Macaca fascicularis: one gene and its partners. The protein of the gene in region 1 interacts with the protein of each later gene in a pairwise test. Links are inferred from orthologs where the notes say so. Each region holds a gene or a part of one and is shown in the gene's direction. Other genes may lie near its edges.

The links.
Region 2: the proteins of ZBTB43 (region 1) and SYT6 interact in binary tests that used the Homo sapiens proteins (3 or more experiments, as listed by UniProt). The two-hybrid records come from large-scale screens. The link is inferred for Macaca fascicularis from reciprocal best matches to the Homo sapiens genes ZBTB43 and SYT6.
Region 3: the proteins of ZBTB43 (region 1) and ELOA2 interact in a two-hybrid assay, tested with the Homo sapiens proteins (2 studies listed by BioGRID and IntAct). The two-hybrid records come from large-scale screens. The link is inferred for Macaca fascicularis from reciprocal best matches to the Homo sapiens genes ZBTB43 and ELOA2.
Region 4: the proteins of ZBTB43 (region 1) and PSMD3 interact in binary tests that used the Homo sapiens proteins (3 or more experiments, as listed by UniProt). The two-hybrid records come from large-scale screens. The link is inferred for Macaca fascicularis from reciprocal best matches to the Homo sapiens genes ZBTB43 and PSMD3.

Annotation. Positions count from the first base shown.
Region 1 is NC_088389.1:17,203,672-17,211,881, reverse strand, and holds the start of ZBTB43 (zinc finger and BTB domain-containing protein 43), read left to right. Parts: upstream 1-2,855; 5' UTR 2,856-2,980; intron 2,981-6,957; exon of another isoform or gene 6,958-7,080; intron 7,081-8,210. UniProt on the Homo sapiens protein: May be involved in transcriptional regulation.
Region 2 is NC_088375.1:120,217,174-120,224,841, forward strand, and holds part of SYT6 (synaptotagmin-6), read left to right. Parts: intron 1-2,824; coding exon 2,825-3,173; intron 3,174-4,725; coding exon 4,726-5,284; intron 5,285-7,668.
Region 3 is NC_088392.1:42,770,220-42,778,431, forward strand, and holds the start of ELOA2 (elongin-A2), read left to right. Parts: upstream 1-3,797; 5' UTR 3,798-5,967; coding exon 5,968-8,212. UniProt on the Homo sapiens protein: SIII, also known as elongin, is a general transcription elongation factor that increases the RNA polymerase II transcription elongation past template-encoded arresting sites.
Region 4 is NC_088390.1:61,043,362-61,047,656, forward strand, and holds the start of PSMD3 (26S proteasome non-ATPase regulatory subunit 3), read left to right. Parts: upstream 1-1,495; 5' UTR 1,496-1,659; coding exon 1,660-1,879; intron 1,880-4,295.

The DNA of each region.
Region 1 (8,210 bases):
TTTTTTTTTTTTTTTTTTTTTTTGTATTTTCAGTAGAGATGGGGTTTCGCCATGTTGGCCAGGCTGGCCTTGAACTCCTGACCTCAGGTGATCTGCCCGCCTCAGCCTCCCAAAGTGCTGGGATTATAGGCATGAGCTGCCATGCCCAGCTGCCTGGCAATTTTTCAAGAGTTTCTTGATACTTGTGCTTTTAGCCCCTTTGTTTTTCTAAGCATGCTTGTTTTATATTGTGGTTCTAAAATATCAAATATCTAAAGCTGGTGTGGATCCACCTCTACTGCTTGTCTTCTCTGCTTATTTCCTTAGGGGGTTTGTGGTTTCCGGTTGTGAGTTCATATTTATTTAGAACCCTATCTGTGGGAATTCTTTGAAGCCTGGGTTGCCAGCAAGTTCTTTCAGAGATTTGTGTTTTGGCCAAATACTGTAGGCACCACCTCCCCAGGTTCATTTCAAATTAAAATGTTCAGATTGTGGGCTTTTGAACTATGCAAATTGTGTGGCCATGTGATAGTCAGACTGTTTTAGCCATGAATCCTCCAGGGGAATGATTTCCCCTTCTGCTCAGAACCAAGGCACAGAGAGACAGCTTTTAACTGCTGCCTACCTCTGTATGGCAGATTTTTTCCCCTGTAGTTTATCCTTCACCTGAGGACATATTTCTTCTTGAGTCCCAACCTGATGTTGCAATTTGGCTTTAATCCTGTCTGGACCCAGGTGAATGCTCCTATAGTTGGTAGCAGTATCGGTGTTTACCTATCTCCAGAGATAATTTTGAAAATATTTGTCAGTACAGGGCATGCACCAATGGATCAGAACAGATGCAGACTTTACCTCTGCGTAATTTCTGAACATCAATTGTTTGACTTCCCAGGCCTGTGTTCTTGTTTTCCTCCTAGCTTCAGATAATTTTCCTGACTTTTTTTTTTGCAAGTGTATCCATGCGTTTAAGAGGGTATTCTAAATATTTCTTCTAGCAATTTTATCTATTTTGTTGCAGTAATATTTGGAAATATATAGTCCTCAATATTGCCAGAAATAAAGTCCAAGTAAGAAGTTTATTTGTCTCATGCAACAAAACACTTAAGGGTGTCCAAAGCTGGCACTGTGGCCTAATGTCATATGGGACCTAGGTTCTCTCAATCTTCCTGCTTTGCCAGCCTTAGCATTTACTTACCACTTCATAGGCACATGATGGCAGTTGAACTTCCAAACTTCAGGTCTGCTTAGAGGCAGGAATAAAAGTGGCAAAACACTTAAAGAGTATACTCAACTAGGCTAGGCGCAGTTGCTCATGCCTGTAATCCCAGCACTTTGGGAGGCCAAGGTGGGTGGATCATGAGGTCAGGAGTTTGAGACCAGCCTGGCCAAGATGGTGAAACCCTGTCTCTACTAAAAATACAAAAATTAGCCGGGCGTGGTGGCGGGCACCTGTAGTCTCAGCTACTCGGGAGGCTGAGGCAGGAGAATTGTTTGAACCTGGGAGGCGGAGGTTGCAGTGAGCCGAGATTGCGCCACCGCACTCCAGCCTGGGCAACAGAGCAAGACTTTGTCTCAAAAAAAAAAAAAAAGGCGGGGGGGCTGGAGCATACATGTTTTAAGTAGAATCTTTGACAAGCTGTTCTGCATCCATTCCCATTTCTGTGCTTCCATATTTGTTTTCTTTCATTTCGCTTTCTAGAAATTTTTTCTTTTCTTTTCTTTTTTCTTTTCTTTTTTTTTTTTTTTTTTTTTTTGGTAGAATTCTCTCTAGAAAAGCTACACTCCTGTGTCCTAGGGCCCAACAACAAGCAAGACAGGCATAATAGCTGGGAAGCCAATCAGCTTAAACTAAGACAGACAATATCAAAAGGGCATGTCTAGCCCAGGAGAACATCCACCCTAAATCCAGAAGGCATTATGACCACATCTCTTCAGCTGCCTGGATTTCAGGTATAAATTAGCTCTTCCACAAAGAGGGCACTTGGTCTATAAACGGGTCCAAAGGTAAGAGTCCCACTGCTATAAGACCTATCTCTCTTCTACACTAACGTGGTGGGGCAAGGGGGAAGAAAGGGGTGAGAAGGATGGAGGGTTTGGGGAAGGAGTGGGAGAACTGGAAGCTAGAGAGATCGTTTCTGTCCCACCATCTGTGTGACCCCAGTGCCCAGCACAACGCAGCCCACGGAAAGGCACTGGTCCTTTCATTGAACGTTTACTGAACATCTACTACATGCCAAAAAGCTGGATGGGTGCTGTGGAGGCAGAAATGGATTTGGAGATAATCTCCGCCAGGCAAACTGAGGTCAAGGTTTTCGTTTGTTTGTTTAGAGAAGAGACGGAGAAGGTCAAGGTGTTTTTGTTTTGTTGTTGTTGTTAAGAGTCTTGCTCTGTGCCCAGGCAGGAGTGCAGTGGCATGATCTCGCCTCACTGCAACCTCTGCCTCCCGGGTTCAGACAATTCTCCTGTCTCAGCTTCCCAAATAGCTGGGACTACAGGCGCCAGTAACCACACTCAGCAATTTTTGCATGTTTTGTAGAGACAGGATTTCACCATGTTGGCCGGGATGGTTTCGAACTCCAGCCTCAAGCGATCTTCCCGCCTCGGCCTCCCAAAGTGCTGGGATTACAGGCGTGGGCTACCGCGCCTGGCCTATGTCAAGGTTTCAAGAAGGTTTAGAACTCGGTATCTGCTCCCCTATTTTCAACAGCTTAGTCAGTCCCTAAAATTGATTGACCCGCTCCAGACTGTACTGCGCAGGCGCCCGCTACCTATGCGCTCTCTCCGGACGCCCAGCTCAGACAGTGAATCCCGCATGCGCACTCCTCTTTCTCTCTGGCGCACCCCCGGAAGCACTGTCAATTTCGGGGGGCGGGACCGGGAAGCGTTTCCGGGGGCTGAGGCACAGGCTGAATCTGTTGCGGCAGCGAAGGCTAGAACAGGCCTGCGCCGGCGGCGGAGAGGATCCCTTGGACGGGGGATGTGAGCGCTGAGCCCTTGGCAGGTACTGAGTGGCCAGGACCACGGGCGGCAAGGCTAAGGGAGGAGAAGTTGGTGGGGGAGTTAAGGGCTCCTCTGCAGGCCCCGACGCACGCGCCGCTTGCCCCGCCAGGCCCATTCCGTGGACCGGCATGCTAAAGCCCCGCGCGGAAGGTTGGGGTCCCGGCGCCCCAGCTCCGAATCCCGCAGTCTCCTGCCCACACGGCGCGCAGACCGCGATACCAAGGCCTTTGGGGCAGCTTCTCGCCCAAGGTCACCCTCGCGGCAGCGGAGCTCCGCCGGCCACAGCGCTTAGAGATCCTGCCCCCGTCCGTCCGCTGGCCTTTCGGGGCGTAGGGTGGGCGCGGCTTGACGGCCTCGGGTTCGAGCCACCAATGCGTGAAGCCTGAAGAGCCGAGCTGGCAGAAAGACTGCGCCTGGACTTCTCTGATCTTCTTTTCCCTTCTGTTTCACCCCGGTTGCTGTCTCTGTCACCTGTTGTAACCTGTCCTTTTTGTCTTTCAGCTAGGTCCCTGTCAACCTGATATTTCTCTCCACTTTGTCTTTCTCGGGGTATATGGATCCTGTTTCATATCTGTCTCCACCTTGCTTCTGTGTCTGTTCACCCTGTCTCTGCCACTCAGCCCTTACTCTAATTCAGGGCCTGTCAGTCTAGCTTTTTGGCCATCTGTCTGTTTTTCTCTCTTTCTTCCAACTTTTTTTTTTCCTCTTGTTTCTGTTTCCTAGCTGAGTTTGTCTGGGTAGGGCAGGGCTGCCCAGACCTCTGAGCCATGGAAGGTGACTCATGACCCCGTGAAGCTCCCTGCACTGGTGACACTCTCAGTGATTCGACCGCAGTTTGGCCTCAGCTCTGACAGGTGCCGCCCAACATAAGTGTCAGAGTGCAGGAGAGTCTGTCAGGGAGACAGGAGGCCCATTTTGGGGCCAGAGCAGCTTGATGAGTCCTAGCCTTTTCTCGCCTGTGGTTTTTCAGGCCTGCACAGCTTCCCAAATCCCTTCACTCCATCCACTTAACCACGGGATGGTCTCCAGGGATCTCTGGAGCCTGCTCTTTGAGTTACAGCTGTTTAACTGGCCTGTCTACAGGCTAAAGAAGGATCAGACTGAGATCTTTGGGGCTACTGGAACAGTAGCAGAGTTTCTGGGAGAGCTGCATGCTTAGTTCAGAGACTGTGTCAGCATTTTCGGTTAAATTGTAAGAAACCTAATAATCGGGGATTTATTATTTGCTTTACAAAAGTACCACGGGAGAAATAAACCGTACACAAAAGGACAAATATTGTTTGAGAGCACTTAAATGAAGTACCTAGAATAAACCAATTAAGAGACGGAAAGTAGAATAGTTTACCAGGGGCTGGAGAGAGGAGTTAGTGCTTAATGGATACAGAACAGAGTTTTGGGGGATGATGAATAAAGTCTGAAAATGGGTTGTGATGATTGCACAATATTGTGAATGTACTTCACTGAATTGGACTCTTAAGAATGCTTAAAATTGTTAAGTCTTAAAGTTTTATGTATATTTTATACAATACAAAAAAAACAAAAACAGTATTCATTGGAGACTCCTGAAACCAATAAGCTCCTTTTTTTTTTTTTTTTTTTTGAGACGGAGTCTTGCTCTGTCACCCAGGCTGGAGTGCAGTGGCCGGATCTCAGCTCACTGCAAGCTCCGCCTCCCGGGTTTACACCATTCTCCTGCCTCAGCCTCCCGAGTAGCTGGGACTACAGGCGCCCACCACCTCGCCTGGCTAGTTTTTTGTATTTTTTAGTAGAGACGGGGTTTCACCGTGTTAGCCAGGATGGTCTCGATCTCCTGACCTCGTGATCCGCCCGTCTCGGCCTCCCAAAGTGCTGGGATTACAGGCTTGAGCCACCGCGCCCGGCCCAATAAGCTCCTTTTACGTGTAATTTTTCAAAATTCATTCTGTAGTTGTTAGGAACATTTAGTTGAACCTGGGTTTATTGATTCCTACTCTCTTTACAGCAGTGGGTACAGCTGAGGTTCTTAGAAAAGTTTAGTTAAATGGATATGGTTAAAATCTTCCTCAAGCTTTCTACTTACTTTCTGCCCTGGCTCTCTTCCCTCTGCCTTTCTTGGAATCAGTGCAAGAATCTGCTCATAAGTAGGATACTTGATAATTATACTCTTCACAGGAAGAAAACTCATAAGGTTGAAAAATAGCCCTTTTATTATAATGCAAAATTATGTGTTATTTCTTGAGTTTTCTTATGGGGGATGCCTTTGTGGGTTTTTTGTTTTTTAAAATCTCTTATTTAAGCTCTTTGCCTTTAAGGTAGTTTATTAAACTTTCTAATAAGATATCGCAACTGAATTACTAGTTTATTTCATTGAATGCTAGATGCTGTTGATTATTTCATGTACCACTAAGGAAGAGAGAAACCCTGCTAATTAAACTATGGCTTAATGCGCTCTTATCGTTTAGACTTTTTATTATTGAAAACACTTTTAAACTTAGACACTAAAAAATGGTATCAATGCCTATGCTAATGCATGTATATACAAAGGAAAAATAAGAATAAATTGGTTAAAGTATTCATTAAAGTTAACATTCCAGGTTCTACTCTTTATACTTTTCAGTTCAGAGTGTGTCCATATTTTTTCTAGCGTGTCATCCTTTGTGTCATCAAGAACATTGATGAGGACCTCAGCAGTTCGCTGTCATTGCCTCAGGCTGTGACAACTATTAAAACTGCCACCTGGTGATCACATGCTGATTTCAGGAATTTTAAAATGTGAAAAAATGCATGTCTGAAAATTAATTGAATAGTATCATTTTCGTGAACTTTTCCATTTCTTTTTTCTTTTTCTTTTTTTTTTTGTGATGGAGTCTCGCCTTGTCACCCAGGCTAGAGTGCAGTGGTGCAGTCTCTGCTCACTGCAACCTCCACCTCCCAGGTTCAAGCGATTCTCCTGCCTCAGCCTCCCAAGTAGCTGGGATTACAGGCGCCTGCCACCATACACAGCTAATTTTTGTATTTTTAGTAGAGACAGGATTTCACCATGTTGGCCAGGCTGGTCTCAAACTCCTGACTTCAAATGATCCACCTGCCTTGGCCTGCCAAAGTGTCGGGATTACAGGTGTAAGCCACTGTGCTGGACCTGAACTTTTCCTTTTCACTCTGTTTATATTTGCAGTTAGAATAGGGGCTTTTGTCTTACTTGTAACATATTGAGGACATAAGATTTTTTAAAATTTGTCGATACGTTGTTAATTTTGTGAAATGAGTGCTGTTTCTGCCTTCTGCTTTCTTGATTTCAACTTCTTATCCTGAATTCTAATGCACATGAGGGCACAGTTAAAAACATTTCCTTGGCTTTATTGAAATTTGATGGAAGGATGACTGATGAATGGAGGGTTAGTTTCTAGAACATTACCTTCTCTTTTGAATCTCAGAGAATTTGCTATAATGGAATGTTTGTCCTGGAAATTTTTAAGTAAAACATTCAGCCGTGGCTTAAAATTGAAGGGAGTCATGAATCAAACTTCATAAAGCAGGTGGCTTGTTTTTTTAAAACACATCTTAAAATAGATTTTACTAAGTTATTTGGCCAAAGTGTTCTAATTAGGAAAAAAATAGAAGAATACTGATTGACAATGGTCAGGAGACCAATAGCGCTCTTCCAAAGGATATGTTAATTCTGCAAAATTACATAGTCATTGATCATGTTGGTTTTCTAATTTTAATAAATATGCCACAGTAATGGATGAGAGGTATACGGGAATTATGCACTGTCTTTTCAATTGTTTTGAAAATTTAAAATTATTACAAAATAAGTTTATTTTTTAAAAAAAATGCAAAGGCAGGAGCTACAAAGTTGCAGAATGAATTTAATATAACCAAAAATGCCAGTCTTTATTACTTTTCTTTCTGCCACTAATGTACATCTCCAGTGTTTATTAGCAAATATACATGTACATAGCATCTTTTTTACATTTTCACTGTTACTCTTCCTTCCAGAAGTCAATGTGATTTTAATTTGAAGCAAAACTGAAATGGGTTCTTCTTCCTCATTCTATTCATATTGCTTTTTGATGGCCATGGCATAAGAAACTTTATCCCAGGAATACAGCTTTGCATTAGGTAAGCTATAAACTTGCTCATAATACCATTGTTAAAAATTACTTACTGTAATCATTTCTCTTTTAGCAAAACTAATAATGTATTTTGTTAAGATATTTAATTCCTCTAGACCAGAAGATTCTTTCTTCTCTTCTGAAGAGATATTACGCATTCTAAGGCCCACCAATGACATACTTTGCACTGATAGAACATTTAATGTCAGATAAATTTTTCTGCCAAGTGATTTTTTTTTTAACTTAGAAAAATGTTAGATTTGGAGTTTTGCTGCTGTTTGAATCCTGACATGCCATTTCTGAGGTGTGTAACCATGGGCAGGTCTTTTAATTTGAGCTTCGGTTTACTCATCTTTCAAAAGGATGCAATGATACGGGAGTGTTGCACAATGTAGGTTTACATAGTGCGCTCTGTGAACTCTAAAGCATTTCACTAATGTAAAGAGTAGGCATAGGGAATTGGTATTTTTGTACATTTGTGCCAGGCTTTAAATTTACTGAAGCAACATTTACTATGTTTAAATGTGCTTTCTATAGTAAGCCTGCAAATTACCATATGCTCTGATTAAAGAAATCTCTGAAGGACTTCACAATAAGTAACTGGTGGGTCTGCTTTCCTATTATATTGCTGTCATCTGTGTTTTTAGGATGTTTAATTGGTGTTTAAATCACGTATAAAATTTGACTTAGAGTTCCTCAGCTGAATAATAAATAGTGGCTGCTATTAAACTCATCAAAGTTGGAGGGAATCTGAAGGTCATCTAGTTCAAGATTTCTTCAGTATGTTGCCCTTCATCTGCTTTTAAAAAGCCAAATAGCTTTTAAGAAGCAGAGTGGAACAGGCTGGGATTGATGTGTTTGTTTTAGAACTATTGCTATTGGATTAAAAAAAATAAAATACATGTGCAAAGTGACATAAAACTGCTGATATCTTTTTTTTTTTTTTTTTTTTTTTTTTGAGATAGAGTCTGGCTCTGTCGCCCAGGCTGGAGTGCAGTGGCAGGATCTCAGCTCACTGCAGCCTCCACCTCCCAGGTTTAAGCAATTCTCTGCCTCAGCCTCCAGAGTAGCTGGAATTACAGGCATCTGCCAGCATGCCTGGCTAATTTTGTATTTTTAGTAGAGACAGGGTTTCGC
Region 2 (7,668 bases), on another chromosome or scaffold:
GAGTCTTAATCTCTTCTTGATGGTGGAGGGTCTTGCTTCGATGTTGATGACTGCTGACTGATCAGTTTGGTGGTTGCTGGTGACTGGAGTGGCTGTGGTAATTTCTTAAAATAAAAAAACAGTGAGTTTGCTGCGTCAATGGACTTTTCCTTTCACTAAAGATCTCTCTGTAGCATGCACCGCTATCTGAGAGCATTTTATCCACAGTAGAACTTCTTTCAAAATGGGAATCAATCCTCTCAACCCCTGCCACTGCTTTATGAACTCAGGTTATATAATACTCTAAGTCCTTTGTGGTCATTTCAACAATGTTCACAGCATCTTTACCAGGAGTAGATTTTATCTCAAGAAACTATTTACTCATCCACAAGAAGCAACTCCTCATCCATTCTTCAGGCTCCACTTCTAATTCTGGTTCTCTTGCTATTTCTACCACATCTGCAGTTACTTCCTTCACTGAGATCTTGAACCCCTCAAAGCTATTGACAATGTTTGGAATCAACTTCTTTTAAATTTCTGTTAATGTTGATATTTTCACCTTTTCCCCTGAATTATGAATGTTCTTAATGGCATCAAGAATGGTGAATCCGATTCAGACGGTTTTCAATTTACTTTGCCCAGATCCATCAGAGGAATCACTATCTATGACAGCTGAAGCCTAAGATTTGAAAGTTGAAGTTACTCCTTGATCCATGGGCTGCAGAATGGATGTTGTGTTAGCCAGCATGAAAACAACATTAATCTCCTTGCACACCTCCATCGGAGCCCTTGGGTGACTAGGCGCATAGTCAATGAGCAGTAATATTTTGAAAGGAATCATTTCTTCTGAGCAGTAAGTCTCAACAGTGGGCTTAAAATATCCAGTAAACCATTCTTAAACAGATGTGCTATTATCCAGGTTTTGTTGTTCCATTTTTAGAGCATAGGCAGAGTAGACTGAGCATAATTCTTAAGGACTGTAGGATTTTTGGAATGATAAATAAGCATTGTTTTCATCTTAAAGTCATCAGCTATGTTAGCCCCTAAAAAGAGAGTCAGTCTGTCCTTTGAAACTTTGAAGCCAGGCATTGACTTCCCCCTTCTAGCTGTGCAAGTCCTAGATAGCATCTTCTTCCAATATAAGGCTATTTCTTATACACTGAAAATCTGTTTTTCAGTGTAGTCACCTTCATCAATTATCTTAGCTAGATCTTTTGAATCACTTACTGCAGTTTTTACATCAGCACTTGCTGCTGCTTCTTTGAACTTTTACATTATGGAGAGGACTTCTTTCCTTAAACCTCAAGAACCAACCTCTGCTAGAATAAAACTTTTCTTCTGCAGCTTCCTCTCCTCTTTCAGTCTTCATAGAATGAAAGAAAGGTACTGTCTTGCTCTGGATTAGGCTTTGGCTTAAGGGAATGTTGGGGCTGGTTTGATCTTCTGTCCAGACCACTAAAGCTTTCTCCACATCAGCAATAAGACTGTTTTGCTTTCTTATCATTTGTGTGTTTACTGGAATAGCACTTCTGATTACCTTTAAGAACTTTTTCTTTGCATTCACAACTTGGCTGTGGGGCACAAAATGCCTCACTTTTGGTCTGTCTTGGCTTTTGATATGCCATCCTTACTAAGTTTAATTATTTCTAGCTTTTGATTTAAAATGAGAGTCATGTGACACTTTCTTTGACCTGAACACTTACAAGTCAAAGTAAGGTTATTAATTGGCCTAATTTCAATATTGCTGTGTCTCAGCAAATAGAGAGGCCCAAGGAGAGGAATGGCCAGCCAGGGGAGCAGTCAGAACACACACAATATTTACCAATTAGGTTGGCCATCTTACGTGGGTACAGCTCAGGACGCCTCAAAACAATGACAATAGGAATATCCAAGATCACTGATCACAGATCATAGATCACCATAACAACTGTAATAGTAATTTAAAAGTTTGAAATAATGTGAGAATTACCGAAAAGTGACACACAGACACAAAATGTGCACATGCTGTTGGAAAACTGGCACCAAAAGACTTGTTCAAGGCAGGGTTGCCACAAAGCTTCAGTTCGTAAAAAACACAGTATCTGTGAAGCACAATAAAGTGAAGCATAGTAAAATGAACTGTGCCTGTATTTAACTTTCACGTGCTCTGTGTAGATCAGATTCCAACTTAATAGAAGTATTTATTGAACCTACTATGCACAGACTTCTGGGAGTACAGAAGAACATAATGCTTGCCCTCAAAGAGACTATGCTGACTCTCATTCACTTGAAGTCAACTCAATGTTTATTGAGTTCCTGTCTTGGGCTCAGTGGGGATGGGATAAAGAAGAAAAGAGGATGAGTTAGCCAGTGTCTGCCCCCCAAGGTATCACAGCCTGTTAAGGAAGTAGGCTGTAGACAAAAATGACTCGTAAGTCTGGCCATAGTAGCAGCTTTAATAGAAATTCAAACAGCGTCTGAACATGCATGCTTCACGAATTTGCACATTTGCTTAGGCTACTATTTAAATTACTTTCCTTTCCCTGTGCACACGCCAATAGGCAGTAGAGAAGACAGCCCAGGTGCTCCCCAAGCTGGCTGGGGGGAGGGGGTGGGGGCGGGAAAGAGGATGATGCTGGAAGAATCAGATTGAGGTGAACACAAGGCTGCAGATATTCCACGAAGTGGACAATCAAGAGTCAACCCTGAAACCACCTCTCCCTCTGACCTGGCAGCTTTCTCATGACCATTCTTCTCTCTTCTTCCGTCTTTGTCCCTTCTGTGTGCCCCCTCCTCCAACACCCTCACCCGCTTCTCCCCGCCTCTGTCTGTCTGTCCCTCCCTGCCTGGCTCATGCCGAGGGCAGGCACCTCTGTCAGCCTCCTCGCAGTTGTAGTTATTGTGTGTGGCGTGGCCCTGGTGGCAGTTTTTCTCTTTCTCTTTTGGAAGCTGTGCTGGATGCCCTGGAGGAACAAGGAGGCCTCCAGTCCCTCTTCTGCTAATCCCCCCTTGGAAGCCCTCCAGAGCCCCAGCTTCAGAGGCAACATGGCGGACAAGCTGAAGGACCCCAGCACCCTGGGCTTCCTGGAGGCGGCCGTGAAGATCAGCCACACATCCCCAGATATCCCAGCTGAGGTGCAGATGTCGGTCAAGGAGCACATCATGCGTCACACGCGGCTGCAGCGGCAAACTACAGAGCCAGCCTCATCCACCAGGTGAGGAGTGGACCGCTCCCTTCCCTGATCCCACACCTCCACACTCCCTTAATACATCTATGGGATTCCAGCCTGTGAGGATCAGAGATCAGAAATAATAACACATATCCTTTGATGGAGAAATATGTCAGAAGATGTGATCCATGATGGGTGATCAACGAGGAGGAAAGACTTCACGAAAGGGAAACCTTTGAGGCTGGTTGCTGTACATGTGGTGTGCACTTGGGGTATGTGTGGATATGAGGGGAATGGAATAGTGGAATTGGGGAGTGTCGGATGTTTGGAAGGAAAGGCTTCAGGCAGAAGGAAGAGAACGGCAAAGGCCTGGAGAGGTAAGAGTTCATGGTGTGTTTAGGGATATGTCTGTAAAGCCCGATAGCTACAGTCTGCAGTGCGTGGCAGATAAGGCAAGAGAGTCTTAATAGTTTGAGAATGAGGATTCCTTTAAAGCCTTTCAGAGTTCCCTGTATGACAACAATTGTAAATACATACAGCATCCTTTAACTGAAAATAGCAACAAGAAAAACGTAACGACAAAAACCTACCCCAAATTCAGAAATACTTTTAAAAGATGTGGCGCAAGCATGTGTAAGGCATTGTATTTACTCAAAACTTAGGGCTCTGATGGATTCCTAGGTCCCTGCAATGGCTCTCCAGGCCCTCAGGGGACCAACCAAAGAGAATGAGTCCTGATCTTCAGACTGGAGGCCAGGAATGAACATGCTAGGGGTCACACTGACAGTTTGTCATATGGCCTTGGGCAAGTTCCTCACCTTCCCTTAGCCTCGCTTTTTCCAACTGTAAAATAAGGCTGATGACTTATATGGCAGTTGTGAGGAGCCAATGGAAGAATGAATGTAATCGATAAGGAGAGCTAACACATATATTGCTTATGATTATGCTTGGCTCTGTTCTAAGCACTTCATATGTAATCAATTCATTTTACTCTCACAGCAATCCTATGTGGTTGTTACTTTTATTATCCTCGTTTTTATGGCACAGAGAGGTTAAATAACTTTCCCAAGATCTCAACTGGAAAGTGACAGAGCCAAGACTGACCTATGCAGTCTAACTCCAAAGCCCATGCTTTTACCACTCCGCTGCCTGCTGTATAGCAAATGCCCAACAAATGGAGATGCTGATGACGGTGATGAAGGGGGTGCCACACTGATGATAAGAAGGGATGGTCCTTCTCTTAAGGGATCTCATGATTTAATAAGGAAACCAGAGTTTTGTCTACTAGGAAGTAAACCTAAAAAGCAGGTAACAGAAAAGCAGGAAAAAGTGATTATGATAGCAATGGCTAACATTTATTGAGCTTACTATATATCAGGCGCCATTCCAACTACTTTACATATATTAAGACATGTAATGCTCACCACAACCTTGTACACCAAGTGTGTGCAGAGGAAAAGTGGGGTCAAGAAGAGGAAGGAAGAGGGGGCTCAACAAGGGATACAATGAGCCAGGGCTTCCAGGCTCGTGTCTGCCTTCATCCCCCTTCCCCTGAGCCCTGACCACACTCCCTCTGCCCCCTCCTGCCCTCTACCAGGCACACGTCCTTCAAGCGCCACCTGCCAAGGCAGATGCACGTCTCCAGTGTAGACTATGGCAACGAGCTTCCACCAGCAGCAGAGCAGCCCACCAGCATTGGCCGCATCAAGCCTGAGCTCTACAAGCAGAAGTCGGTGGATGGGGACGATGCCAAGTCTGAGGCCACCAAAAGCTGCGGGAAGATCAACTTCAGCCTACGTTATGATTACGAGACGGAGACCCTGATTGTGCGTATCCTGAAGGCTTTTGACCTCCCTGCCAAGGACTTTTGTGGAAGCTCTGACCCTTATGTCAAGATCTACCTCCTGCCTGACCGCAAATGCAAGCTGCAGACCCGGGTGCACCGCAAGACCCTGAACCCCACCTTTGATGAGAACTTCCACTTCCCTGTGCCCTATGAGGAGCTGGCTGATCGCAAGCTGCATCTCAGCGTCTTCGACTTCGACCGCTTCTCCCGCCATGACATGATTGGTGAGGTCATCATGGACAACCTCTTTGAGGCCTCTGATCTGTCTCGGGAAACCTCCATCTGGAAGGACATCCAATATGCCACAAGTGTGAGTACAGCCCTGTTCCTTGGCTTTTTGAGGATTTGTGGTTCTGGGTTGGGTTGGACATGTCCCCAACCCCTCATTTCCTAGAGACAAATGGGCCTTTTCCTTTTGGGATAGGAAGAGGGACTCTGGAAACTGCCCAGTGGCCCAGCCTACCCTTGCACTCTGCCCCAGGTTGGAATGGCAGACAGCAGAGTCCCCATGTAGCTAGGAAGGGGAGGGATTTTTTATCTGTGGCTTCTGGTTGCATGTTCTGGGATGGTTCTTTCTACTGAGAGTACTGATATAGAGAGTACTGATATAGATACAGAAACCTGGCATAGGCAATCGAAACAGGCCATATCAATTAGGCTGAACCAGGCTATGCTGCAGCAGCAAACGATCTGAGGATTTTGTGGCTTTAGACAACCAAAGTTTATGCCTTGTTCATGTTTTGTGTGCTTTGCATCTGGGCTGGGGACTCTACTCCACCTTGTTACCTGGGGACCCAAGCCAACAGACGCTGCATTTAGACACGGGCCCCCACAGTTAAACATCAGGAGGAAGAGGAAGTGGCAAATCATGCACTGTTTATTAAAGCTTCCACGCAGAAGTGACACATGTCACTTCCACTCCCATTAGAACAAGACACATGGTAACTCCTAATATCGAGGGAGAAGGGGCAAATTAATCCTACCGAGTGCCCAGAAGGAGAGCTGGACATACCTAATGAACAGCACAAATGACGACACAGAGCAGAGTCCCTTCGCTTGGGCATTGTTTTCCCAGTCATGTATGGGAGATGGGGGAGGCCAGCCCAAAAGGAGACCTGACTAACCCCTACACAGGAGGTGGGTGCTGGGCTGTTTGCAATCAGCTGGAATTAACCAGGGAAGGTTTCAAGGAGCTGGGGCTCAAGTTGGCTTTTAAGAGAAGAGAGCACAGGTTTGGCACAGAGAACTGGAGAGGGCACATCTGGAGCCCTTCGGTCTGGCATAGCCCTTCGCTCCAGTCCCGAGTTGAGGAAACTGTACAGCTGCGTCCTGCAGGTATAGCTAGTATCCTCTCTCTAAGCCACCCCCCCACCCCCAGGCAGCTAAGAGCTCAGTGGGGGCGTTCCCTCCAAGCTCCAGTGGCCTTGCATCTGCTGTCTGGAGTGCTAACAGGTTGAGCAGCAACCTGGATATTTCCTGCGCTGTATCTCTGAGGAGGGGCGACCCCACTCTGTCTGCAGACTCCCGCTCAGATAGTCAATACTCAATATCTCTGTGTTGAGCCTGTGAAGAGAGGGGCTGGGAAAATCAGCCCTGCTCTGGCGTGCAAAGGGTGTAAATCTTGATTTGTTCGAAGTGAGAAAGCTTGGTGGGCTCTGCTTACACCCCAGGAAGAGTCTGGGGGACACCCCATTCTCATAGCTTGTGCTGACTTTGACCAGTCCAGCCCAATGGCCCAGGGCCTCCCCCACCTTTGCTTTCCTGAAATGTCATCCCTAAGAAGAACATAAGTAGCCGGCTGGCTAGCAGGCAGACAGGGCGGCAGACCGGGTGGATCAGAACAGCAGCTGTGCCGCAGCCCCGGGCCCGAGCGCTCCACCCCATAAATCACTCTGAAGTTTACATCTGGTGCAGCTCTTCCCTGTGGTCTCCTTAGGCTGTGGTTTCATTATGGTAACTGGGCAGGTAGAGAAAAGCAGCTCAGCCCTCCTCAGAGTGAGGCTGCCACCCAGGGAAGGGCGTGAGGGCCAGGGGCTGCAGGAAGCAGAGCTCAGCTCAGCCCTTCTAGGAGCCTCCTTTGCTCCTTGCCAGAGTCCACCATCTGGTGTCTTTGGCTCTAGGCATGACTGGAAGCCTCATGCCTGGGATAAGCAGTCTGTGCCCAAGCACACTTCTCACCTGGATGCACCTTTCCATATCCGAGAACCCCGTGGCTGTCCTGCCCTTGTCCCATCACCACTTCCCCAGCCTGGCTTCTGAAAAGGGCAGATCAACCAAAGAGCATGGAACAAATCACCACCATCCTCATCATCCTCAACTATTATCATTATAGACCCCCTCCCTCTCCTCCTCCTAAGAACACTGTGCCAGGCATGGGGGTGAGGGGGGACTGGGGTAGGAAACAGCCTCTTTGACCCACAGAAACTTGTCATCTAATTACAGAGACAGGAAAAGTCCATGCAGTAGCTGGCAGTGCAAAGCAGCAAATACGATCCGCTGTGTACGGTTGTAGGAGCCTTAGAGTTAGGACAGCTGGTGAAGGTCTCCTGGATAAGGAGAACTAAATCAGGTGGGGAAGGACAGTCATAAATAAGTCAACAGCCCAAGAGGAAGGGACAGCATTCCAGCCAGGTGCAGAGGGAGTCCAGGTGCAGAGGGAGTCCAGGCGCAGCGGGAGTCCAGGCGCAGAGCGAG
Region 3 (8,212 bases), on another chromosome or scaffold:
ATAACAGGTAAGAAGGCTTAGTATTGAGTCAGGAAACTTTTGTTGCATTTGTGTGTAGGTATATGTGAGGGAGATAATTTTGAATTTCAGTCTAAGATGTCTTACAGTTGGTCACAGTAAAAAAAAGTTTGAAAGCCACTATACAAAATGATAGTATTTTGATATTAAAGATATCTGACATTTGTAGTTTCCACTCGTCTTTCTGAAGATGTTGACATGACAGCTCTTGGTGAAGACTGAACCCTTTCTAATTTGCCAAAATTAACATTGGCCATCACAGTTTTTCCCTCCTTTTTTTTTGTAATTAACTTTGCCTCACCTACAGTGCCATCTAGTGTATTAGGAGGGGGAGCTCTTCATGAAATTGAGGTCATTCCGAGGTGACCATTGTTTGCATAATAAAAATGATAACCATCATAGAATTCAGTCCATATCAAGTTTGCAAAATAAAATTATAACTGCATATTAAATAGGCAGAAATAGGATAGATGGGATATATTTGTAAATTTATAGTCTCAAACCTATGTTTGGAGTTTTGGTCCAGAATTTTAAGTCTAAAAGGTACCTAGAAATTACTGAATCTCAGGGGGCCCTGGAGATCATCTGAATCTCAGGAACCTGAGATCTGTAAGAATTAAGGATTTGCTGAAAAGCCCAAATAGTTGAAAGCAGAATCTTGGCTTCTGGGTCAATGCTCCTCCCTTCATCAACTCCTCCTCATCATTCTCCCACCCATTTATATTCACTCCAGACCAGAGATAATCCACTACTTTAATATTATTTCCTAAGATTCATACCCTGCACAGCCACTATTTTAATTTACCAAAACCTGCGTGCCAAACTTGCCAGAAACAAACAACTATGGCTACCAGCCATTCTTTCCTAGTTGACCTAACTCAGTAACAAATGAATGATGTCTTTTACAATTTCTCAAGCTTAATTTCCCACAATATTAGTGACCATTTCAAAGCTGTTACTGGCTAGACCTCCTTCAAAAGGTTAGTCACCCTGCTGCACCAGGAGTAGTATGTCTTACAAGAGATTATGTCTTTTAATTGCTGAATAGTTGCAATAAAGCTAAATAAAGCTAATCTATTTTATATGCATGTAAAAGTCTTTGAGAATGCAAAGATGGAAATTGGCTTAAAGAGCCATGAAAGTAATCTACATTTTCCTAGAGACTGTATTGGACACTGACTGGTCCCATTTCTAACAAGGTCCATATCCCTCCATATTAGAGGTTCTAATGCAGTGTCCTGTACATCACACGAAATAAAGCCTGGGAAGCGCTTTGAAAACTGTGGGGGTGCTAAGTCAATTTTAGGGATAGTAATTGCTGGGTGCCCAACAGCTGTTAGTTGCTTTGCTCATGCATTTCAGAGTCTCTCTATCCTTCACTCTAGAAGCATTTGCTTCTTCCTAATTGAAACATGTACTTGTGCAAATATTTTCTATGACTAGGTCACTGAGAAAAAGTAGCTAGTGTCCTCTGTGTGCTCCTCAGTACTGGATCCACTGCACTGGGTTTGGCTGAATTTCTTAAAGATGAGGAGGGTCAATTACACTATACTGTAGAAATACTCCATGTGTGCACAGACACGCATATACCCAGAGGAAGGCCCTCATTAGTGGGATGAAAAACTCATTAGGGAAAACTCAGTAGATTTATTAGAGGAACAGAAAAAAAGATCCCGGAAGAGACGTTTAAAAGTGGGGAGGAGAGGACTGGGAGGATGGGAGAACTGCAGGGGGCTGGGGGTGGAGGGGATGGCAGGTAAAGGGTACAGAATTTCTCTTTGGGCTAATGAAAACGTTCTAAAATTGATCAAGGCAATGGAAGTATGTCTCTGTGAATATCCTGAAAGTCATGGAATTGTACATGTTAAATGGTGAGTTGTACGATATATGAATAAAGATGTTTTAAAATGCAAAAGGTGGGAGGGGGCAGATAAAAGAAGTCTTAAATAAATATAAATAATCTACATAAAATTGTGCCTTGATATATAAAATAAATAGTCTAACTGAAAATATAAATCTTTCTAGGCAATATTTTGAAGCTATTCAAGATGGAAATGATGGGGTAAAAGAACTGGTTATCACACATAGCACTGTGAGGGCCTGCTTTGCCAGCCCCCAGACAGAGCCTGTTTCTGCTTTGGAGAGTAGCAATGACACCTTATTACTACCCAACCTTGCTGCACCAGTGTGACTACAGGAGTAGACTTACTGAACAGAAGAGTAACACAGGCATTTCTGTGTTCAGAATCTTCACATGTTCATTTACAGCAGACATTTCTCTTTACCATTTTTCTTTTGGGTTTTATAATAATTTGCAATGCATATAAAAGTTGAAGAAACCACCTTAAGTATTGTCCATACTTCTTCAGCTTATTGGTACAAAAATAAGCTTCTTTCAATAAGAATCTCAAATTTTTTAAAGTGCAGCTATTTTTTTACATTTTTACATCCAGATTTGGTAAGGTATTGAAAGAATATTGTATTTCAGATACAATTGGTGGGAATGTAACTTGGTACAACCCGTTTGCAGAGCAAATTGACAAAATCTATCAAAAAGAAAAATGCACATACCTGTTGGCCCAGCGATATCACTCAGCAGTTTATACTCTAGAGGATCAATTACACTGTATTATAGAAATACTCCATGTGTGCACATACATGCACATACACAGACACAGAAAAATACAGTTTATTTTCTACTACCCATGGATAGGATAGTGAGTTTCATAGCAACCCTAATAAAAGCAAGTTGGAACATTTGTCAGAATTATTTCCTTCAAACTCCTTTTTAGAATCCCTGGAGAATCATTTAAACAGTAACCCACTGACCTAATTAACACAGTTGATCAGGATAAACAAGAAAGCAAAAGCTCTAATTCTTGAGACAGAAGTCTAATTCTTAATCCTAAACAAATCTGAGCAATGTTGATCATACTTTTGAAAGAATAGCCTATCAGAGAGGCTTGCTTAGGGTTTTGATTACATTTCTGCAAAATGGTAGCTACTTCAACTCCAATCAAAATAATTTCCACTTTCTTTTTTTATTAGAATCTCAGTTTGCAAAACAGTCTATCTCTATAATGGGGATTGACTTGAGTCCTTTAGAACCCTGTCTGGTAATGAGGCTGCATCAAAAATGGCTTTCCATGGTCGGGCACCATGACTCACTCCTGTAATCCCAGCAATTTGGGAGGCCAAGGTGGGAGGATCACTTGAGCCCAGGATGAGAGCAGCCTGGGCAACACAGGGAGACTCCCATCTCCAATTAAAAAAAAAAAAAAAAAAAAAAAGGCTTTCCTACTATGTGGACTGTGAAGCAGCTTTTACTTGTGGTGACCAGGTCTTAAAATAATAATATGATTTTTATTTTGAGATAAGATTGATAAAAATTCAGAATTCAGTACAAGTAAAATAGGGAAAGAGAGTTTTAAAAACACTATTCAAAATGTAGTGTTAAATATTTAAGATGAGCTTCTGTTACTGAAAACACAAAATGCAGTCTTACAAATTTCTTAATTAAAGGTATAAAGTTGGCCAGATCTACATCTTTCTGCCCAGGCCATTCAAATTAACATAGAAAATTATCTTCTGAATTAAAAAAAACTAAGAATGAGCCACTCCCCCCAAAAAAGTTCTATTTAAACTGTAAGAGATGGTATGCCCCTGAAATGGACACAAGTACATGCCCATTAATTTCTGTGTACAAAGAAAGAAGGCCCAGAAGTGAACATCTAATCTAGGTGTCTCATTTGTATGTTTCAATAATCTGGCGGTTTTCTTCTTCTTTCATTTCCTTTGTGGGCTATTGTGCCACAAATATACCTCCATTATCAAATTCAAAATTGAATCCTATGATACCATAGCCTGAGGAAAAGGAAGCATTGAATATCATTCCCAGTTTTAGACTGAGAAGATATTTAGGAAATGTTACTGTATATACACCACATGCAACATTAGTGCTTTTAATTTCCTTTTTACGGGTGCTATGGAGATTAATTTGCATGAGCTCATTTCAATTTCAGTAATAAGATCCAAATTTTGCATTAAGCTTTCCATCTCAAAAACAAACAGTTAAAAAGGACACATCTCTTATTCTCTTATTTTAAATGTTTTTTCTATACTTCTCTTTTACAGTCTCTGCATCTAATATTCACCTAAAAGCTTGACTATATATACCTGTACGTTCTAATTTGTTTTTTGTTTGTTTCCTGATTATCTCCTGGCTCTGCCAGGAAACTTCCTAAATTTCAAATGCTGTACAATCCAACAAAATACTAGAAATCTCAAAAGAAGTGTCTACAGATCCAGAAAAGACATTTGCTGAATTTCATACAATGTCAGAATTGGTCAACTATGCTCAGAAACATAGGACCAAGTGTTCCCTAATTTGAGAGGACAAATAAGTAACAACAGAAGAGAAAAAAACATAGATACTATATTTCAAATGATCCTGTTTTAATAATTGTCACTGAAAAACGAAAGTCCGATCCAGATACCAAATCTGTTTCAACAATAATAGCTAGAGACAAGAGTAAAAATTTCTTTAAAGTTTTAAAACAGGTGGAAGAAGATCCAGAAATATTTATTCCAAGATTTGTAAGAGGGGATAAAACATGGCTACACTGGATGATCCTGAAGAAAGAGCACAAAACAATGGCTACCAAAAGGTGGCAGCACTCCAGTCAAAGACAGAGAGGACCAGTCAAGGGAAGAGGTCATGGTAACAGTTTTGGGGAATGCTCAAAAGATACGACTAAATGACTTTTTGAAGGGCCAAACCATCATTAAATGGGCTTACTAACAGAATTTTTGAGAAAATTAGCCAAAGCATGAGCAGAAAAACCATTATCAGAGAGTTCTACCTAATCATGAAAAAGTTCTTGCTGTTGCATTTCACTGAACAAAGGGCAGTTTGGCAAAAGTTTCAATGGGAAATCATGAGGCGTCCACCTTACAGTCATGATGTGGAACCTGCTGACTTCTATTTCTTTCCTAGTATTAAAAATTCTGCAAACGGCACCCAGTTTTCTTCAGTTAATAATGGAAAAAAAGATTTCATGGAAATTGTTAAGTTCCCAGAACCATCAGGGCTTGAGGGACAAGGTTGGGGCAAGACAGTGCTTGAAAACTGTCTTGAAATTGATGGAGCAGATGTTAAGAAATAAAATCAAACGGTTTTATTTTGGTCTTTTAATCCCAGTTTTGACAAATGTTTGAAAGTCCCCTCACAAAACATCAGTCCTAGGTAAAGAGTTGTTATCCTGTATTGGTTCTTCTTTCTGTGATTTTATCTTGCTGTGTTATTTTCTGTTTTACTCCCAAGAAGACTCAGTCTGCGTTTTTTTTGAATCCACAGATACGGAAACTGATATAATGGAAGGCCAACGGTAGAACTCAGTGGGGTGTGTCGAGGCTGAAATTCACCTAATCAACCTCTGGGGCACAGCAGTCCACCTGGCGTGGACCGTCCCGATTGTCTGCATTGTGCTGACGGCATGAGTACGTACTGGGGCGGGGCAGCCCAGGAGCTAAGAGGGTTAGGGCTAGAGCCGTGAGTGTGGGCCTGCCGTGGGCCATATAAGGCCCAGCTCTGGCACCAGAGCTGCATTCCGTGTAGGACTGCAAACCGCAGAGGTCACTCCAGCTATGGCTCCACATCCCGAGGACTAGAAGCAGACTTGCTCAGCGGTCTGCAAGGACCGGCGTTCCAGACCAAGTGGCCCGCTGCACTGAGGACTGAGCTTGCTCCAGGCGGTGGTGACTCCACGTCATGAGGCCTACGGTCTGCAAGGACCAGCGCCCCGGAACCAGTGGTCCGCTGCTTCGAGGACCGAGCTCGCTCCAGGCTGTGACTCCACATCCCGAGGTCGCTGCCTGGCTTCGTGTCCCGCCGCCCGGAGGAAAGAGCCGAGACCTCCAGGACAGTGACGCCTGCACAGCTCTGCTGAGATGGCAGCAGGATCCATTACGCTGCACGCAGTGGAGAAGCTGCAGGTGTATCTGACCACTAAGACGGACCCGAAAAAGCTAGAGAAATATTTGCAGAAACTCTCCGCCTTGCCCATGACGGCAGACATCCTGGCGGAGACTGGAATCAGAAAGACGGTGAAGCGCCTGCGGAAGCACCAGCACGTGGGCGACTTTGCCAGAGACTTAGCGGCCCGGTGGAAGAAGCTGGTGCTTGTGGACCCAAACACCGGGCCTGATGCACAGGACCCCGAGGAGAGCGCTTCCCGAAAGCGCTATGGGGAGGCTCTTCAGGACCAGGAAAAGGCCTGGGGCTTCCCAGAGAACGGGACGGTCCCCAGGAGCCCACCTGACAGTCCTGAGCACAGACGGACAGCACACAGAACACCTCCGGGGCTCCAGAGACCTCACCGAAGGTCTCCCAGTCGCGAGCACAGAGCCCAGAGAAAGCGTCCCAGAAGGGCCCCAGCTGATTCAGGCCCCCATCGGGCCCCTCCATTGCACACCGCTCCCCTCCCGACGCCCGAGGGCCCTGAGCCGGCTGTGCCCGGGAAGCAACCCGGAAGAGGCCATGCTCACGCCGCTCAGGGCGGGCCTCTGCTGGGTCAGGGCTGCCAGGGCCAACCCCAGGGGGAAGCGCTTGTAAGCCACAGCAAGGGACACAAATCGTTCCACCAGGAAAAATGTCCCTTGTGTGCCCAGGGCGATTGGCACTCCCCTACTTTGATCAGGGAGAAATCATCCTGGGCCCGCTTAAGAGAGGAAACCCCAAGGATGCCCTTCCGGGAAAGTGCCAGGGACAGGCCGTCCTCGGGTGACGCCAAGAAGGACAAGGAAGGGGGACGAGCTGGCAGCAGCCAGCATGTCCCCGCCTTGGTGGTGGCTCCAGACGGTCACCCAAATAGGCCTCATCACAGACACTTGAACAAGAAGATGCCCAGTCTAGATGGCCCGTACCCAGGAAATGGGACACACCGCCTGTCCTCTGAGGAGAAAGAGCAGCTTTCCAATGACCAAAAGACTCAAGAGGGGAAGCCACCAACGGCTCATGTGGGCAGAAGGTCCATGAGCTCCCTCTCTGAGGTGGAGGAGGTAGATATGGCTGAGGAATTCGAGCAGCCCACTCTGTCATTTGAAAAATACCACACTTACGACCAGTTGCAGAAGCAAAGGAAAAAGACTGGGGAATCTTCCACCACTGCACTTGGAGATAAACAAAGGAAAGCAAACGATTCAAAGGGCACTCGTGTGTCCTGGGATTCAGCTAAGAAATTGCTTCCTTTCGAGGAAAGCCAGTCAGAGAGGCTGCAGGCAGCCGGTGCTGATTCTGCAGGGCTGAAAACGGTGCCCAGCCATGCCTTCTCAGAGCTCTGGGACCCCTCAGAGGCCTGGATGCAGGCCAACTACCATTCGCTATTGGATTCTGACTCCATGACCTCCCAGGCAAAGCCAGAAGCACTCACTGCACCAACCTTCCAGGAGGAAACTGCTTTCACTGGAGGCAGAGTGAATGCTAAGATGCAGGTGTACTCGGGCTCCAGGCCTGCCTGCCAGCCCCAGGTGCTGACGCTGCGCCAGCAGTGCATCCGGGTCCTTAGAAACAATCCCGACACCCTCAGCGATGTGGAAGGGATCCCCTACTCGTATCTTGAACCCGTTCTGGAAGGGTGGACACCTGATCAGCTGTATCGCAGAGAGAAATACAATCACGCACTCGCTGGGGACACAGATGAATTATGGAGGATTCATTGTCTCCAGGACTTCAAGGAAGGAAAGCCACAGGAGCAAGAGTCTTGGCGGGAGCTGTGCCTGCGGGTTCAGGACACCCGAGAGCAGCGACTAAGAGTACTGACAGCAAATATCCGATCTGCACGTGAAAACAACCCCAACAGCAGAGAGGCAAAGATGATCTATTTCAACTCTGTGGCCAAGACGCCTTATGATGCTTCAAGGAGGCAAGATAAGTCTGCAGGAGCTGCTGAACCTGAAAATGGAGAGCTCAAGCTAGCCCCAAAGCCTGCGGTAAGCAGCCACGTTCCCTCCAGCAGGGGCAGTGACAGTGGTGGCAGAGACAGCAGCAGCAGCAATGTCCTTCACCAGCTCCCTGAGAAGAGGGCCAACCCCTGCCTAAGCAGCAGCAATGAGCGCGCGATGCTCGCGGCCAAAACCCGGAAACAGGCTGCCAAGAAAGTGGCCCCGCTGATGGCCAAGGCAATTCGAGACTACA
Region 4 (4,295 bases), on another chromosome or scaffold:
CCTAACTAACCAGAAGAGTAACTCCTTTGATTGTTAAGGATGAACATAACTCATCTGTTTTCTTCCTTACCATTCTCGCCCACCTTCAGTTGCAGATACGGTGTTATGAAGAGGTTCTAATGAGTTTATTCCAATGATGATTCAAAAATCCTGTTATCCATCCCCCAGCCCTGGAGGGTGAGAGGACAGTTGAGGAGGAACTGGTCAAGGCATGTTCCCTAAAACTAGAGCACATATCTTTCCAGTTAGCAAGTGGCTGTTTAATGCAAGGAACATCCTGCAATCCTACGAAAGAGGATGCAAAAGATATGTAGGATACCCTTTATATATGTAAAGGAGGAGGAGGTCAAAACGTATTTCCTGCCTTCTAGGTCCTTACAACAGGGCTAAATTTTCTTGCAGGGTCTGTGAAAGGTCTAAAGCTCAGGACTTTCACTTATGGGAGAGAGAAAAGTTTCAAGGTAGGGAGAGAGTTTTTGTTTTGTGTTCTAAGAAATTGGGAACTATATCCTTCACCTTGTTTCACCTTCCCTGCAGAATCAATGGGGGAGTCCTTTGAAAAATAAGTGGGTAGAGTTTCTTGTCCAATTGGCTTCCCCTTAGGCACAGCACTAGGTAAACCATCATTCTCTCCTTAGGCACACTATTATTCTGTTCGCCATTTCACAATGTCTGTCTGGATGTATAAAAGCCCTCTCAACGGGCTCCCTAAAGCGTCTGCCAGTAGTGGCTCCCACCCTCTTTCCTCAACACTCCCAATCCACCGCAGCCCAGAGCACTGTGTCTGGTTATCTAACCATCTGACTCTCCCGTATACTACATTCTTGAGCTGTTTTTCACCCCCCTATTTGCTAGCCCTGGGCCGTACATAGGGTGGGCCCCTACATTTTGTTAAACTGGAGTGATTCTACGCAAATGCACGCTCACCCTGCAGAGAATTGTATGCCTTATCTTCAGCACTAAACTAAAATCTAATCAAGGAAGTCCGGATCCCATAGGATTCTTGCTACTCTCCAGTTCGGTTTATTTTAAGCCCAACAGCCCTAGCTTCACGTCCCTCCTTCGCAGCCTTCTTTCCTTCCCTCCTGCCGGATGCGCCCAGCAGCCGTTGAGCCCAAGCCCCGCGGATTTGGAAGGAGACCCCCCCATCGGGGAAAAGGGAGCGAACTTGGGCGCAAAACCCGCCCGGCAACTCTTGACGTTATCTCGCCCCGCGCTCGGATGGACTGTACTCACTCCACGCTGGTTGAGATGCTCTTAAAGTCCTTTGTAACCCAGATTGGAGCCTGAGGGGACCTCTCGTGGACGCCCACAGAAATGCACTCGAGAGGAACATAAAAGCATCACACTTCAGCGCTAGAAAGAAAGCACCAGGAACCCATACAGGCTCCTCCCAGCTCCTTCCTTGAAGCTCCTCCTTCATCCTGCACCTCGGCTGTTGATTTATTTCCCCTTTGTTGACTCGGCCATCGGCCTGCCGTGCCTGGGCTTTCCCAGAAGGCCCAGCGCCGGGAAGGGGTTTGCAGCTGCTCCGTCATCGTGCGGCCCGACGGTAGCCCGCGCTGGTGTGTAGGCCCGGCTCGGCTCCTGGTCCCCGGTGCTACGGTTCACGCGAGGCCCCGGCCTCGGTCCCCGGACTAGGCCGTGACCCCGGGTGCCATGAAGCAGGAGGGCTCGGCGCGGCGCCGCGGCGCGGACAAGGCGAAACCGCCGCCCGGCGGCGGAGAACAAGAACCCCCACTGCCCCCGGCCCCCCAGGATGTGGAGATGAAAGAGGAGGCGGCGACGGGTGGCGGGTCAACGGGGGAGGCAGACGGCAAGACGGCGGCGGCAGCAGCTGAGCACTCCCAGCGAGAGCTAGACACTGTCACCTTGGAGGGTACGGGAGCCCAAGCCGGGAACGTGCCGCGATCACGGGTGACAGCGACCCCTGTGATTCGGCTTCTCGCTGGGAAGCCAGAGCAGCCTCCACAACCCTCAGTTCCTTGGGATTACCCCCAGATACCTGCCCCCGCTACCCTGACACTTCCGACTCCAGGCCCAATGACTGAACCTTCTCTCCAGGCTGGGAACCACTCCCCTCCCATCCCCTCCATCCCCATATCTGGGGTTGCATCTATATCTGGGTTCCACTGGGCCTGGGGACTCCTTCTTCTAAGTCCTCCCCTTTCTAAGCCCTCCCCTCTGACCTATTCCATTTATATCCCACCTGACTGATTTTAGCGCCTCCAATATATGACTGATTGATCCCGCTAGAAACCAGTGTTTGTGTCTACGTGTGTAAACAGGGCCGGGATGACCTAGAATATCGACTCCTGATTTTTAAAACTGTACAGCAGATTTTTGTTGTCCTAGCTGCCTTTAGCACACTCCCCCGAATGAACCATTTCGACCTAGTATCTTGTTTCCTATTTCTCTAACTGAAGTATCCCCACAGTCCCTTTGCTGTCTCCTTCTCCCTTCAGGTCCCTACTGCCCCTCTGTTTCTAAAGGGTCTAAGTACACACACACTTAAAACTTTTCGGGTGTCATCTTTGTTTGGTTTTGTAATACTAACCTTTGGCCTAAACTGCTGTACACCAGTGTCTCCTATTTCTTTTCTCCGAGGTTCCTGTTTCAAGTATCCGTAGTCCTCTTGTTCCTCCAAGTTCATGTTTTACTTTTCCCACTTAGAGCATCCTGTCTCCATTTGAAGTGGGTAAAGTGAGAGCTTCCCACTGTGATCCTGGTGCCGTTTTCGTGGTTCTGGATCAAGTGGGACCACACTACTTACTAGGTTTTCTTTTCACTAAAATGCATGAGAAAGTAGCTCAAAAACATTGAGATAAGGAAAATTATCCTCCTAAGTGGTACATTTGAGGATGTGATGCTGTTGACCACAGCTCTTAACGGTAAAGTTGAGCAACAGGATCAATATTTGATAGACATCCTTTTGCCTAAAGTAGTGACAGCCAATGTCAAAGGTGCCACTCAGCATTGCCTACTGGGTGTGTTTATTACAAGCACTTCATTTTCTTGTTGTAAAGTAATTCATATTCATTGCAGAGATTTTGGAATGTATGAGAAGTTAAAAGCAGGGGGAAGAAAACATGGTTAACATTTTTTCTTATGAATTTTTGAGCTACTCTCCTATAATTGAGAGCAAGTTATGTATATAGTTTGTATCAAGGCATAACTAAATATAAATTTTGAATTTTATGTGTTTTCATTAACATTCATAAACATAATCAGCAATTTATTCCAGAAACATTTGTTGAATACCCAATATAATGGTTAAGAGTAGTACAAGTTCTGGGCCGGGCGTGGTGGCTCAAGCCTGTAATCCCAGCACTTTGGGAGGCCGAGACGGGCGGATCACGAGGTCAGGAGATCGAGACCATCCTGGTTAACATGGTGAAACCCCGTCTCTACTAAAAAAAAAAAATACAAAAAACTAGCCGGGCGAGGTGGCTGACGCCTGTAGTCCCAGCTACTCGGGAGGCTGAGGCAGGAGAATGGCGTGAACCCGGGAGGCGGAGCTTGCAGTGAGCTGAGATCCGGCCACTGCACTCCAGCCTGGGTGACAGCGTGAGACTCCGTCTCAAAAAAAAAAAAAAAAAAAAGAGTAGTACAAGTTCTGGAATCCATTCCCTCATCTGTGTAAATATGAGTAATAGTACAATACTTTATTGGGTTGTTGTGAACATTAAAATGCTTAAAACTGTGCCTAGCACATAAATATCAGCTGTTATTATTATATCTTAGTGTGGCCCAGATACCCTGTGCTAAGTGCTAACTATACAGAAGTACCTAAGAAACTACTCATTGATTGCATTCCCTTACTGCTTTGCATTTAAACTGTTTCTAGTTTCTTCCTATCGTAAATAACTGAAGCAATCATCTTTGTGCCCAACTTAAAAAAATCGACTTTTATAATTATTTCTTAAGTACAGATTCGCACCAAAACCTATATACCTGAGTTAAAAAGGCTGAACATTTTAAAGATTTTTGATAGTTATCATCCAGAAAAACTGTGCTGATTTACATTATACCAGGAGAAATGTAGTTTTCACTGTACTCTATAATTTTTTTTTTTTTTTTTTTTTTTTGAGACAGAGTCTTACCCTGTTGCCCAGGCTGGAGTGCAATGGCGCGATCTCAGCTTACTGCCACCTCCGCCTCCCAAGTTCAAGCGATTCTCCTGCCTCAGCTTCCCAAGTAGCTGGGATTACAGGTGCCCACCACCATGCCCGGCTAATCTTTTTATTTTTAGTAGAGACGGGATTCACCATGTTGGCCAGGCTGGTCTTGAACTG